Saccharomyces cerevisiae S288C: one gene and its partners. Each later gene encodes a partner of the first gene's protein in a complex. Each region holds a gene or a part of one and is shown on either strand. Other genes may lie near its edges. A codon is read from its position in the direction of its gene.

Evidence for each region.
Region 2: the proteins of STH1 (region 1) and RSC58 are in contact, whole or in part, in a cryo-EM structure (PDB 6V8O), measured with the Saccharomyces cerevisiae proteins. Residues at the interface, in NP_012140.1 of Saccharomyces cerevisiae: Lys48 (codon at 1,498), Pro49 (codon at 1,495), Arg50 (codon at 1,492), Ser51 (codon at 1,489), Ser52 (codon at 1,486), Leu55 (codon at 1,477), Leu59 (codon at 1,465), Glu80 (codon at 1,402), Phe83 (codon at 1,393), Arg84 (codon at 1,390), Ile86 (codon at 1,384), Ser87 (codon at 1,381), Asp89 (codon at 1,375), Gln90 (codon at 1,372), Asp91 (codon at 1,369), Tyr93 (codon at 1,363), Glu94 (codon at 1,360), Lys96 (codon at 1,354), Leu97 (codon at 1,351), Leu100 (codon at 1,342), Arg101 (codon at 1,339), Ser103 (codon at 1,333), Ile104 (codon at 1,330), Asp105 (codon at 1,327), Lys106 (codon at 1,324), Phe108 (codon at 1,318), Gln109 (codon at 1,315), Tyr110 (codon at 1,312), Asp111 (codon at 1,309), Glu112 (codon at 1,306); in NP_013133.1 of Saccharomyces cerevisiae: Ala23 (codon at 1,573), Ala24 (codon at 1,570), Lys122 (codon at 1,276), Lys125 (codon at 1,267), Phe126 (codon at 1,264), Glu129 (codon at 1,255), Asn239 (codon at 925), Ala241 (codon at 919), Pro242 (codon at 916), Arg243 (codon at 913), Leu244 (codon at 910), Gly245 (codon at 907), Val247 (codon at 901), Gly248 (codon at 898), Ala249 (codon at 895), Asn250 (codon at 892), Ile254 (codon at 880), Pro255 (codon at 877), Asp256 (codon at 874), Pro257 (codon at 871), Thr258 (codon at 868), Thr262 (codon at 856), Glu263 (codon at 853), Met264 (codon at 850), Met265 (codon at 847), Phe268 (codon at 838), His270 (codon at 832), Pro271 (codon at 829), Asn272 (codon at 826), Trp273 (codon at 823).
Region 3: the proteins of STH1 (region 1) and ARP9 are in contact, whole or in part, in a cryo-EM structure (PDB 6VZG), measured with the Saccharomyces cerevisiae proteins. Residues at the interface, in NP_012140.1 of Saccharomyces cerevisiae: Arg344 (codon at 610), Gln345 (codon at 607), Arg347 (codon at 601), Cys348 (codon at 598), Phe349 (codon at 595), Phe351 (codon at 589), Gly352 (codon at 586), Leu354 (codon at 580), Gly355 (codon at 577), Ala356 (codon at 574), Leu358 (codon at 568), His359 (codon at 565), Met362 (codon at 556), Glu363 (codon at 553), Glu366 (codon at 544), Arg369 (codon at 535); in NP_013747.1 of Saccharomyces cerevisiae: Glu28 (codon at 1,739), Tyr151 (codon at 2,108), Ile154 (codon at 2,117), Ser155 (codon at 2,120), Gln157 (codon at 2,126), Asp176 (codon at 2,183), Tyr177 (codon at 2,186), Ala178 (codon at 2,189), Gln179 (codon at 2,192), Asp181 (codon at 2,198), Pro413 (codon at 2,894), Tyr415 (codon at 2,900), Phe416 (codon at 2,903), Pro417 (codon at 2,906), Ile434 (codon at 2,957), Val435 (codon at 2,960), Lys437 (codon at 2,966), Gln438 (codon at 2,969), Ile439 (codon at 2,972), Phe447 (codon at 2,996), Trp463 (codon at 3,044), Asp464 (codon at 3,047), Val465 (codon at 3,050), Gln466 (codon at 3,053), Phe467 (codon at 3,056).

Annotation. Positions count from the first base shown.
Region 1 is NC_001141.2:115,925-119,630, reverse strand, and holds the start of STH1 (RSC chromatin remodeling complex ATPase subunit STH1), read right to left. Parts: upstream 1,640-3,706; coding exon 1-1,639. Other genes in the region: RRT14 (Rrt14p), read left to right, coding at 1,987-2,607; MET18 (Met18p), read right to left, coding at 2,727-3,706. UniProt on the Saccharomyces cerevisiae protein: Catalytic component of the chromatin structure-remodeling complex (RSC), which is involved in transcription regulation and nucleosome positioning. RSC is responsible for the transfer of a histone octamer from a nucleosome core particle to naked DNA.
Region 2 is NC_001144.5:206,694-210,399, reverse strand, and holds RSC58 (Rsc58p), read right to left. Parts: upstream 1,640-3,706; coding exon 131-1,639; downstream 1-130. Other genes in the region: DNA helicase RAD5, read right to left, coding at 1,900-3,706. UniProt on the Saccharomyces cerevisiae protein: Component of the chromatin structure-remodeling complex (RSC), which is involved in transcription regulation and nucleosome positioning. RSC is responsible for the transfer of a histone octamer from a nucleosome core particle to naked DNA.
Region 3 is NC_001145.3:336,217-339,883, forward strand, and holds ARP9 (Arp9p), read left to right. Parts: upstream 1-1,571; coding exon 1,572-1,601; intron 1,602-1,687; coding exon 1,688-3,061; downstream 3,062-3,667. Other genes in the region: formin-binding protein HOF1, read left to right, coding at 1-1,091; YMR030W-A (uncharacterized protein), read left to right, coding at 1,097-1,387; RCH1 (Rch1p), read right to left, coding at 3,202-3,667.

The DNA of each region.
Region 1 (3,706 bases):
TGTTTAAGCTCGGAGCCCATTTTTCAAATTCTAAAGTCCAATTGGTTATTGTGGATAAAGGTACAATGACTAGGAAAGGGCCGATGTCTTTCTTAACTTCATAAAGATATGTTATTAGAGAAATAGATTGGATGGTTTTACCTAAACCCATCTCATCTGCTAGAATACCGTTCAAATGATTATTGTACAACGACACCATCCATTCTAAACCTCGTAATTGATACTCTTTTAAAGTGCCGCCAACAAGAATAGAAGGTTGTTTATCAATTTTTTCTTTGATCCTATGAGCGACTTCATAATAGTCAGTCTTTTCTCTTTCTTCATCTGTAATTGGTTGGACTTCCTCACCATGAAGAATTTTTGCTTCGTTTTGTTGTGCTCTAACAGCCTCCGACAAAGAATCCAAAAAGGAATTAGTCTGCCTCAATAACTGTGTAATTCTAGTATCCTTAGTTTGATCTAAAAGCTTTAAATAAGCCTCCTCATCGTTAGACTTCAAAGCAGCTAAACGTTGCTTAGCAGTTCTTTCTATTCTTTTCTGTTCATCTTTCTCCATTTGATTGTGTAATGAAGCGCCTAATCTACCGAACTGAAAGCAACGTTCTTGACGAGACCATTGCTCGGACTGCCTTTCTTTGATGAAATCAATGATGCTGTTTATTTTTTGTAAATGTAAATTACGTTCCTTTTTTCTTTTTTCCAATAGTTGTTGCCTTTCTAATTCTTCTGCCAAACGAACGGTTTGTGGGACAATAACTTTGCTTCTAATTTGAACAGATCTTTGTGCAGCTGCTGTGAAAGGAGAATCACGTAGATATGGAATATTGTGGTGTGCCTGGCTGGCAACATTGTTGATTAACTTTTGCCTAATCGATTTTTGTTTAGTTAGTAGCTTTAAACTTTTCAATTCCACAAGAGCTTTGATTTTGAAAGTATCCATTCTGGACGATAAATCATCTTTTGTAATAAACTCTAAACAATCATCTAGTGAGTATGTACCCAGATTGGCAGGTAATCTTTCCAGCTCGTTAATTCTGTTGGATATACGTGCAGAAATCCTTATTTCGGTATCTGGATCGCCCAATGCAGTCTTCGTAGCGTTAGAAAATTTTGATTCTAAACCCAAACTTTTGGCCTTCGCATTGAAATCTGCTGATATTTTTATTGGTTTCTTTTCAGAATAGTCTACTTCGATCGCCGTAGTGTTATCGTTCTTGGTGTCTGGTAAGTCTAAGAAGTAGTCAGGGACATCTGTATCTTTCTCCAGTAACTGTAAGGCAACCAAGTGTTTATTCAATAAATCCTCATCGTACTGAAATCCTTTATCTATACTCTTTCTCAAGGTATCCAACTTTGTTTCGTAGATATCCTGATCACGTGATATATTCCTAAAAGTGTCTTCTATTGCCTTGATCTCCAACTTGTTTTCCTTTGGATGGTTTTGAATAGCCCTATAGCGGTAGAGTAGCTGCTCCAACTGTGCACTACTCCTCGGCTTTGGAATAGTGATTTCAGGTTGTTCCTCGGACCCCAGCTTTCCATTTGTTTCAGAGGCTGCAGCAACCGCAGCCAATGCGGCAACTGTTGTAGGTGTATTATTCATCACCGTGCTCATCAACTCAGATTGTTCCTGAAGCATTCGCGCTTGCTCTAAACTGTGCTGCCTCTTTGTGTTGTTATTTCCACCAAATTAGCCGCTGATTGCCTTTGTTTTTCTCTATACTCTTTTTCCTCTTAAGTTTCGTTTTCGTTATTGATAAACTTTTTCTTTTCTCAGTGCCAAATTGGTGTCTTCTTTTTTTGCCACGGGGCGGGTACTAGATAGTCACGTGAATGTATACACGTGACCCTAATGCTCTTTGAAAAATTTTGCGATGAGCTTTAACTAAGGAATATGGAAATATAGCTGGCAACTGTGGAAATATTGTTTTGTGGAAAAGTTGTTTAGAATACGAACAACTTAAGGAGGGAGCTAGCTAGGCCAAAATGTCATCTTCGCTGAGCCAAACATCTAAATACCAGGCCACCTCGGTTGTTAATGGACTGCTATCAAACCTTTTGCCTGGCGTTCCCAAAATCAGAGCTAATAATGGCAAAACAAGTGTAAACAATGGGTCAAAAGCTCAGTTAATCGACAGGAACTTGAAAAAGAGAGTACAGTTACAAAACAGAGACGTTCACAAAATTAAAAAAAAATGCAAACTGGTCAAAAAAAAAAAAGTTAAGAAACATAAATTAGATAAAGAGCAACTTGAACAACTGGCAAAACACCAGGTTTTGAAAAAACATCAACATGAGGGCACATTAACGGACCATGAGAGGAAGTATTTGAATAAGTTAATCAAAAGGAATTCTCAAAATTTGAGGTCGTGGGATTTAGAAGAGGAAGTACGAGATGAGCTTGAAGACATTCAGCAATCCATCTTGAAGGATACAGTTTCCACTGCGAACACAGACAGGAGTAAAAGAAGAAGGTTCAAAAGAAAACAATTCAAGGAAGATATCAAAGAGAGCGATTTTGTTAAAGATCATAGATATCCTGGTCTGACACCGGGTTTGGCACCTGTAGGACTAAGCGACGAGGAAGACTCTAGTGAAGAAGATTAAACGTAATAAAAATAAATGCTATTTTGCTGTACTATACATAAAAGAATCATATTTACTTAGTATACTCGCTAAGATTTTCACGTGCTCATCAATGTGAACAAATTATTAAATACAAGCGTTTACTCGAACGGGATTTGGCCTAATTCATAATAAACCTGTCTTGTGTCAACGCATTGCTTTCTTATTATTCTTTTTTTGTCAGATAAAACTGGTATTAAAGCGCTTAGAACATCGTCCTGATAGCTCAAACAATAGTTTAGAGGTACTACAGTCGTAATCATTTCTAGAAGCTGTAAGGCTATTAACCTGACACTGACACTATTATATTTGTGCGGAAGCGAAAGAGATAGTAATAATGGAACTATTGTGCTTACGTGTTCAGTAATTAAAGTGTGATGTTTATCCGTAGTGTCCTTCAGAGTTTCTAAAGCGGATACCCTTACTTCAGGATCAGGCATATCCAAAGCCTGCAATAAAAGCGGGAATAAATCGTTGATAAAAGGACCAACCGATTGGCTTGGAGTATGCTTCAACACTAAGGATAATGCAGTTAAATAATTGCATTTAATGGTCATGTCCACGGTATTTTTATAGTTGCTGACTAGTGTTTGAAAAATGTCACCGAAGAATTTTTGTTTGTACAAGATTTTAACGTTATTATTCCAACTGATACCTTTAAATTTCTTCAAAGAACTGATATCCATGACAAAAACTTCGAATAGCTTCGATACAAGTGAGCCAATCTCTTCATTAGACAGTAAATCAATAAACTTTTTTGCAATTTCTGATGACTCTAATGAGTTTTGCATTATCAGCCCTTTAGTCAACCAAACCATCACTTCAAGATTAATTACTGATAAGTCTTTCCAATCGAATAATCCTATCACATCTTTTTCAGAGACGAATTTATTTGATAAGACCAACAGCAATTCCAGGTATCCTAATTTTTCAGTCTCCGTCATTCTTGGAGCATGTTTTTTGAGTAGTTGAACCGTTCCGAAAAGCACTGTAAATTTTTGGGGGAATTGGCAGTTTTTATTTAGTGCGGATAATATTTTAGCATATGAAATAGCCAATACATTCGGTGTGTCTAAGATTC
Region 2 (3,706 bases), on another chromosome or scaffold:
AACAAATGCATACTTTATCTAATATCAAAATATAAACATACATTAGTCAAAAAAGACTTGATGAGCTTTCATGAAACTAAAACAAAGATAATTCATTATTTATCTTTGATTCCACTACCGCTGACACTATTTATTTCTTGTGTTTCCGTTTACGACCTGGTTGCGCCCTTACCACAGGTATGCTACCATTATAGTTTGTTTGTAATACTGGAAAGGCCCTTACATTGTTTATAGGAACCTTGGAAACCTTCTTTGCTAAGATAACCTCCTTTAGTATTCTTTTCACTTTGAAGTATAATTCTCGTTCCTCCGTAGTAGGCTTCAAAACTTTATTTAAAATCCTCTCCTTTCTAAGTCTTTTAAGTTTTAAGAGAGAGTCTGAAACCAACTTATCTGGTGTGCCATTTCGAAAGTTCTCAATTTCGTCATCTCCAATGTAATTAGATGGTGTCCAATTATATAAGTTTTGAAGCTTGATTATGAATTGTTCCTTATTCTCAGTACTCTCTGAATTTGCAGAAGCGATAGTCGCATCATTATCATTATCACCACCATCGTCCTGAACGCCATTGCTTTTGCCGTCAACATTTTTGTTGTTTTCATCGTTCTGCTTCCTGTTTATGCCTTCTTCATTCGTGTTCAGTAATTCTTCTTGTTTTACTTTCTTTTCATTTTTTTCATACAAGTCCATATAACCAATTCTTTCAAGCCAAATAAGACCCCTTGTTGTCGAATCCACAACGGTGCCGTTTTCATTAAAGGAAGGTGCCCAAGAATTATAATTACCATATTTTAGCCAGACGGTTGTAGGTAAAGCATACCAATTTGGATGCAAAAATCTAGTCATCATTTCAGTTGGTGGTAACGTAGGGTCCGGAATATTACTAGTATTAGCGCCTACAAATCCTAATCTTGGAGCTTCGTTTTCTATATCAGTTTGAGGTAAGACGTTGTTTATTTTGAAGTTTGTATTAGGAAGTTCATGAGGTCTTTTGTCAAGATTAGATTTAGAAATTATCGAAGAAAAAAGGTCCATATCCTTCGTTCTTATCTGATATGTTTGAGAAATCGGCACTGTGTAATTCATAGAAATCTTAATAAAATCATAAGAGATTATTTTGTCTAGTTCTGTTGCATCGTCATCGTCGTATTCATCCATCTCGTTTCCGCTCAACAACTTACCACTTCTTGATTTAATATTATTAGTTTGCGTTAGAGCAATTCCTATCCTACAACATTCTCGTAATAAAAGCTCTGAAGAAAATTTGTAGAACTTGTCGACTAATTGGTAGTTTCTTGTACCCTGAGGATAAAAGTGAATGAGGATTGTACAAACCAGCTTAATGTCGTGATACAGCTTATAAAACCCACCTTGTATGGGTTCGTACTCTCCATTTTCAAACCTCTTATTGATAGTTGTCAAAACTAATTTATCTTCATTACGTATCAAACCTTCAGAGTTACTTCTATTTTTAATGAATTTACAATATGATTCATATATCTTATCCGGATTTTTCTCAAAGAACTTGGCTGGAAAACTTTCATCTACTACATGACATTTCACAGAGGCAGCATTCAAAATGGATTGAACATTTACCAAAAAATCTACTAGTTTATTTCCACCTACACTTTCTGTCATAATGAAAACTTTCGATTTTCAAAATTATCTCTTATTTGATCCCGACTGATGATGATTTTCTTCGTCTTCGTATTTCTATCGTCCATGCCTTATGGCGCTGTTTTATTTTCTTAATTGTTTTTTTAATAATTGCAACTTAAAAATACGGGTAACGGAAAAGGAAGATAATAGAAGTTGCATGAAGTAGCTGAAGAATAATTAGTTCTTTCGGGTTGAAAATAATAATAAATAAAGTCTTTATATATGAGTATGTGGTATGACTATTCAAACAGCATCTGGATTTCTTCAATTCTCCTTTTTCTTCTCTCGTCTTCGTCTGTGTCCATGGCCTCACCGATGGTTCTCTTCTTTTCTTGAATGCGTAGCATTTTTTCTTCTATGCTATCTTGTATGATAAATCTCATAACTTTGACGCTGTTTGTCTGGCCAATTCTATGCAGTCTATCGATTGCCTGATCTTCCATACTGGGCGACCACCATGGGTCCATCATATAAGCGTGGGAAGCACACGTTAGATTCAAACCCACGCCACCAGCCTTCAGCGAGAGTAATAGGATTTTTTGCCTGCTATAGTCTTTAACGGCAAAATCTGCTAATACACTAGTTCTTTCTTTTAATGAGAGACGTCCATCGAATTTATAAATTTTTGCAACATCTTTTGAGAAAGTATGAGTTAGCTCTTTCTCCAGGATATCCAAGTATGTAGAAAATTGGGAAAAAATGACAACTTGTTCGCCTGCCGAACTATCCTGTAGCAATTGAAGCTCCTTCAATAAAGCAGTGATTTTGCTTGATTTGGAGGCTGGTGAATATGGTTTGAATTCCAAATTTTTCGAGTTGCTATTCGTTTGTACCAATGCCAACAACCGACAAGCGTCTATTTGGTTACGGCAATTGGGGCACTTTAAACCCAAATTCTTACTGTTCTGAAACTCAATATATTCAAATAAACATTTCTCACAAAAACTGTGGCCGCATTCTGTAAATAAAGCCTTGTCCAAATCCATAGGTTCCGTTGTGCAGATGGAGCACTCTAAGGACTGAAACGATTTATTGTCTGGATATTTAACTTTTAATCTTTGTATCATTGCATCTAATTCCTCCTTAGAAAATGAGTTATCGAATCTCTCGGAAACAACACGCATTAAAGAGTCAAGCTCCACCGTTTGTTCCGTAACCAATTTATTATTTTTAGATAAATCCTCATCGTTCTCATCTTGACTCCCAATAAGACCGGGATGGCAACAGACTTGCCTCAATCTTAAAATATGGACAAGGATAGTGGAGTACTTTTTCAATAAATCACCGCGTGCAATACCCGATTTAACAGAAACTTCAGCCTTATCCAACAGAAACTTGTATAGAAGATCTTGAGATTTACTGAAGGGAAGTCTTTTAATAACGACCTCCTTTGGTGGCAACTCTACTAATGGCTTACCATCTTTATCTTTCATTTGTTTTGTCCTTCTTAACAATACGGGTTCCAGAATTGCATTCACCACATCAAATGCTTGTTTGTAATTTTTACTCTCAAAAGGCGTTGATACAAAGGTCTTCCAGTAATTAATTTGCCGCCAGGGATCTAACTCTAAAAACTTAACCAGACTGTATAAATCGTCAAGCCTGTTAATAATTGGTGTTCCTGTTAAAACCCATTTACATTTGCCTTGTAAAGCCATGACTGCTTTAGATGTAACTGTCGTTCTGTTTCTAATGTTATGACCCTCGTCGATTATTATGCGATAAAAATTGACAGAAAATAAGCCTGAAGATATATTGACGTCCTCATCTGTCATCCTTCCCTTGGAATGTTTAGTCCATTCATTTTGAACAATACCATATGTAGTAAGGACTACAGTTGGAGGGGTTTTTGTCTTGGTTAATAGGGTTTTCAAACTGGAAACATTCCCACCATAATACACCTCATGATACATATCGGGGGAATTATTAGCTTTTGTAAACTCGTTACTCCACTGCGTTAACAAAGACATTGGGACCACGATTAGCGTTGTTTTTGAAGCATATGGTTTCTTATTATCTTGCCAAGTGCTTGGAAGATTATCTGAG
Region 3 (3,667 bases), on another chromosome or scaffold:
ACAATATAAGGAAACTATCTTCTCAGCTGAAGGAAACCGAAAATAAAAGGAAACTAGCTTCAATAGACAAATATGAGAAACCATTGCCATCTCCAGAAGTCACCATGGCTACACAATTTAGAAATTCCACACCCGTCATACGTAATGAGACAAAAGTGGTTGCTAACCCAACATTATCTTTGAGGTCTTCACCCGTCCAGTTACAGAGCAATGTGGATGACTCCGTGTTAAGGCAGAAACCTGATAAACCAAGGCCGATTGTTGGGGAAGAACAACTTAAACCTGATGAAGATTCGAAAAATCCTGATGAAAAAGGTCTAATGGTGCATAAAAGAAATCAATCTCTCAGCTCACCATCAGAATCAAGTTCTTCTAATCCAACGGATTTTAGCCACATCAAAAAGAGACAAAGTATGGAATCTATGACTACATCCGTAAGTTCAATGGCCAATAGTATAGACGACTCACAGAGATTTGCCAAATCATGGAACTCGTCAAATAGGAAAAGAAAATCTATGAGCCATTTGCAAGTACCCTCATCCGCTTCTTCGAGGTCGGATGATGGGGGAAGAACGCCTAACTCTGCGCACAACCTCAATGAAGATGATTATAACACGAGGAGAGATACCAGTACAAGCACAATTTTGTTCAAACCTCCTGTGGCAGTAAGAGGAACGTCTAGGGGGCACACGCATAGACAATCCATGATAATGCAAGATTCAAGTAATCCAATTGAAGATGCCTTGTACGAAATGGAAAGAATCCAAAGTAGTTCTAAACCAGGTACAAAAACAGGAAACATCATGGATGAGAGAGGTGTGGTCAGGGATAGAGGTATTACTGTTACCTTGCCTATTGTCACCAGTGAAGGTTTTCCAGTCATTGAATATGCCAAGGCCATGTATCCATTGATTGGAAATGAGGCACCTGGATTAGCGAATTTCCATAAGGGCGACTATCTGCTAATTACTGAGATTGTTAATAAAGATTGGTATAAAGGTGAAGTTTATGATAATGACCGTATAGATAGAAATCATAGGATAGGATTAATTCCCTATAATTTCATTCAGCTACTGCATCAAGGTCTTTGATCTCGATGTATATCAATTTTACTAGTTTTCTGATAAAAGAAAAAAAGTATAATGTCAGATTTTTGTTAAGTAGAAATAGAAAGATATACGCTGCCGTGGGAGAAGGACACCTCTCCGGATTTGTAACTAAAAATCATAAAATATCACGTCTTTCCTTCATATTTTCAAAAAAAAAAAAAGTTTTCTTTACCATTTTTGACACAATAATCACGATAATTGTTAGGTCAGGCATTCCCTTTCCACTTTTATGTTCATTTGGACGCAATAAGATATACATATTATTTAATGTGCTCTAATGACAGTTCTACTGTGTTTATATCATTAGAGTCACTTGTTACGAATACTACATATTTCCGCGCAGTGGCTAAAAGCAAATTTCAACATTATAAATCTCTAATAGTAAACTGACAATATTGCGGAATTAGAAAAAATGTACCACGCGAAGTTAAGTGTCTTGAACAACTACTATATGCATTGAATATGGCTCCATTTAGGCAGGACAGTATTTTGGTACGTATTTAGTTCATCAATGGATTTTTTAAGTCTTCACGAACAGTTTTTGGTTAATCTTTTATACTAACAACAATTCATAACAGATAATATACCCCAGATCTCAAACTACTCTCGTTCAATTTGGTTTGAATGAAGAAACATTCACTGTACCTGAGCTGGAAATACCAACACAGATTTATCGGACCACGAGACAAGATGGTTCCTACACATATCATTCAACGAACAAGGATAATAAAGCCGAATTAATCAAACCAATCCAAAATGGTGAAATAATAGACATAAGCGCCTTTACACAATTTCTTAGACTAATATTTGTATCTATTTTGTCTGATAGAGCTAATAAAAATCAAGATGCTTTTGAAGCTGAATTATCTAATATTCCTCTTCTACTGATTACGCACCACTCTTGGTCGCAATCGGATCTAGAGATTATTACTCAATATGTCTTCGAAAGTCTTGAGATAAACAATCTAATCCAATTGCCGGCTTCCTTAGCGGCCACTTATTCTATGATTTCGTTGCAGAATTGTTGTATTATTGATGTTGGAACACATCATACAGATATTATTCCTATTGTTGACTATGCACAATTAGACCATCTTGTCTCTTCAATACCAATGGGCGGACAGTCTATTAATGATTCTCTAAAAAAACTACTACCTCAATGGGACGATGATCAGATAGAATCATTGAAAAAATCACCAATTTTTGAGGTGCTCAGTGACGACGCCAAAAAACTATCAAGTTTCGATTTTGGAAACGAAAATGAGGACGAGGATGAAGGAACTTTAAACGTTGCCGAGATTATTACAAGTGGTCGTGATACACGTGAAGTTTTAGAGGAAAGAGAACGTGGTCAAAAAGTCAAAAATGTTAAAAATAGCGACTTGGAATTCAATACTTTTTGGGATGAAAAAGGTAACGAAATTAAAGTTGGTAAGCAAAGATTCCAAGGATGTAATAACCTGATTAAGAATATTTCTAATCGTGTAGGATTGACGTTAGATAACATAGATGATATTAACAAAGCTAAAGCCGTTTGGGAAAATATTATCATCGTCGGTGGCACTACTTCAATTTCAGGTTTTAAAGAAGCTTTACTGGGTCAACTACTGAAAGACCATTTAATTATAGAGCCAGAGGAAGAGAAGTCAAAAAGAGAAGAGGAAGCGAAATCCGTATTACCAGCTGCAACAAAAAAGAAAAGCAAGTTTATGACAAATAGCACCGCATTTGTTCCAACTATAGAATACGTACAGTGTCCTACAGTAATCAAACTGGCTAAATATCCAGATTACTTTCCTGAGTGGAAGAAAAGTGGATATTCAGAGATTATATTCTTGGGTGCCCAAATTGTTTCTAAGCAAATTTTCACTCATCCTAAAGATACATTTTATATCACAAGAGAAAAGTATAATATGAAAGGACCGGCTGCTCTTTGGGACGTGCAATTTTAAGAATACGTGATAGATGCTTCGTGTATCCAAAATCCGTGTGAATATGTGCTGTTTAGTTTTTTCCATCCAATGAGGATGGGAAATATATACATAAACGTTATGTAATATATAGAATTCATGCAAAATTAACAAGGGAAATATCACCTTGGTTGTGTATATGGGACGTTGTTCGACAGAACGGATTGATTTTCACCAGTTCCAATTGATATGATCTTTTCCAAATCAACTTCCTCATTCTCATTTGCACAAGATGACTCGCTTCCGTCTGCTTGAGCGTCCTTTTGTATCCATCTTTTGAACAAGCTTACAAAGAAATTTGCCGTCATGACTTGCTCAACTTGATATAAAACCAAGGGAACCAACAACTTACCCAGGTGTTCTTTTTTATCGCCGTATTGTGAAGTAATTAGTGATACACCCAGTGCTGCAGTTTTAGCCGGGCCACAAAACATAATGCAAATCGCATCTTCCTTTGAATAATAAAAAGGCCTAAAGATATTATACGAATAGCGGTACAATCTTGTAGATTTGCCCTCTATTGGTTCATGAGGGAAAAGCTTGAGGATGAACCATGGCCTTGCACATAAGTATGACAGACCCGTGAAG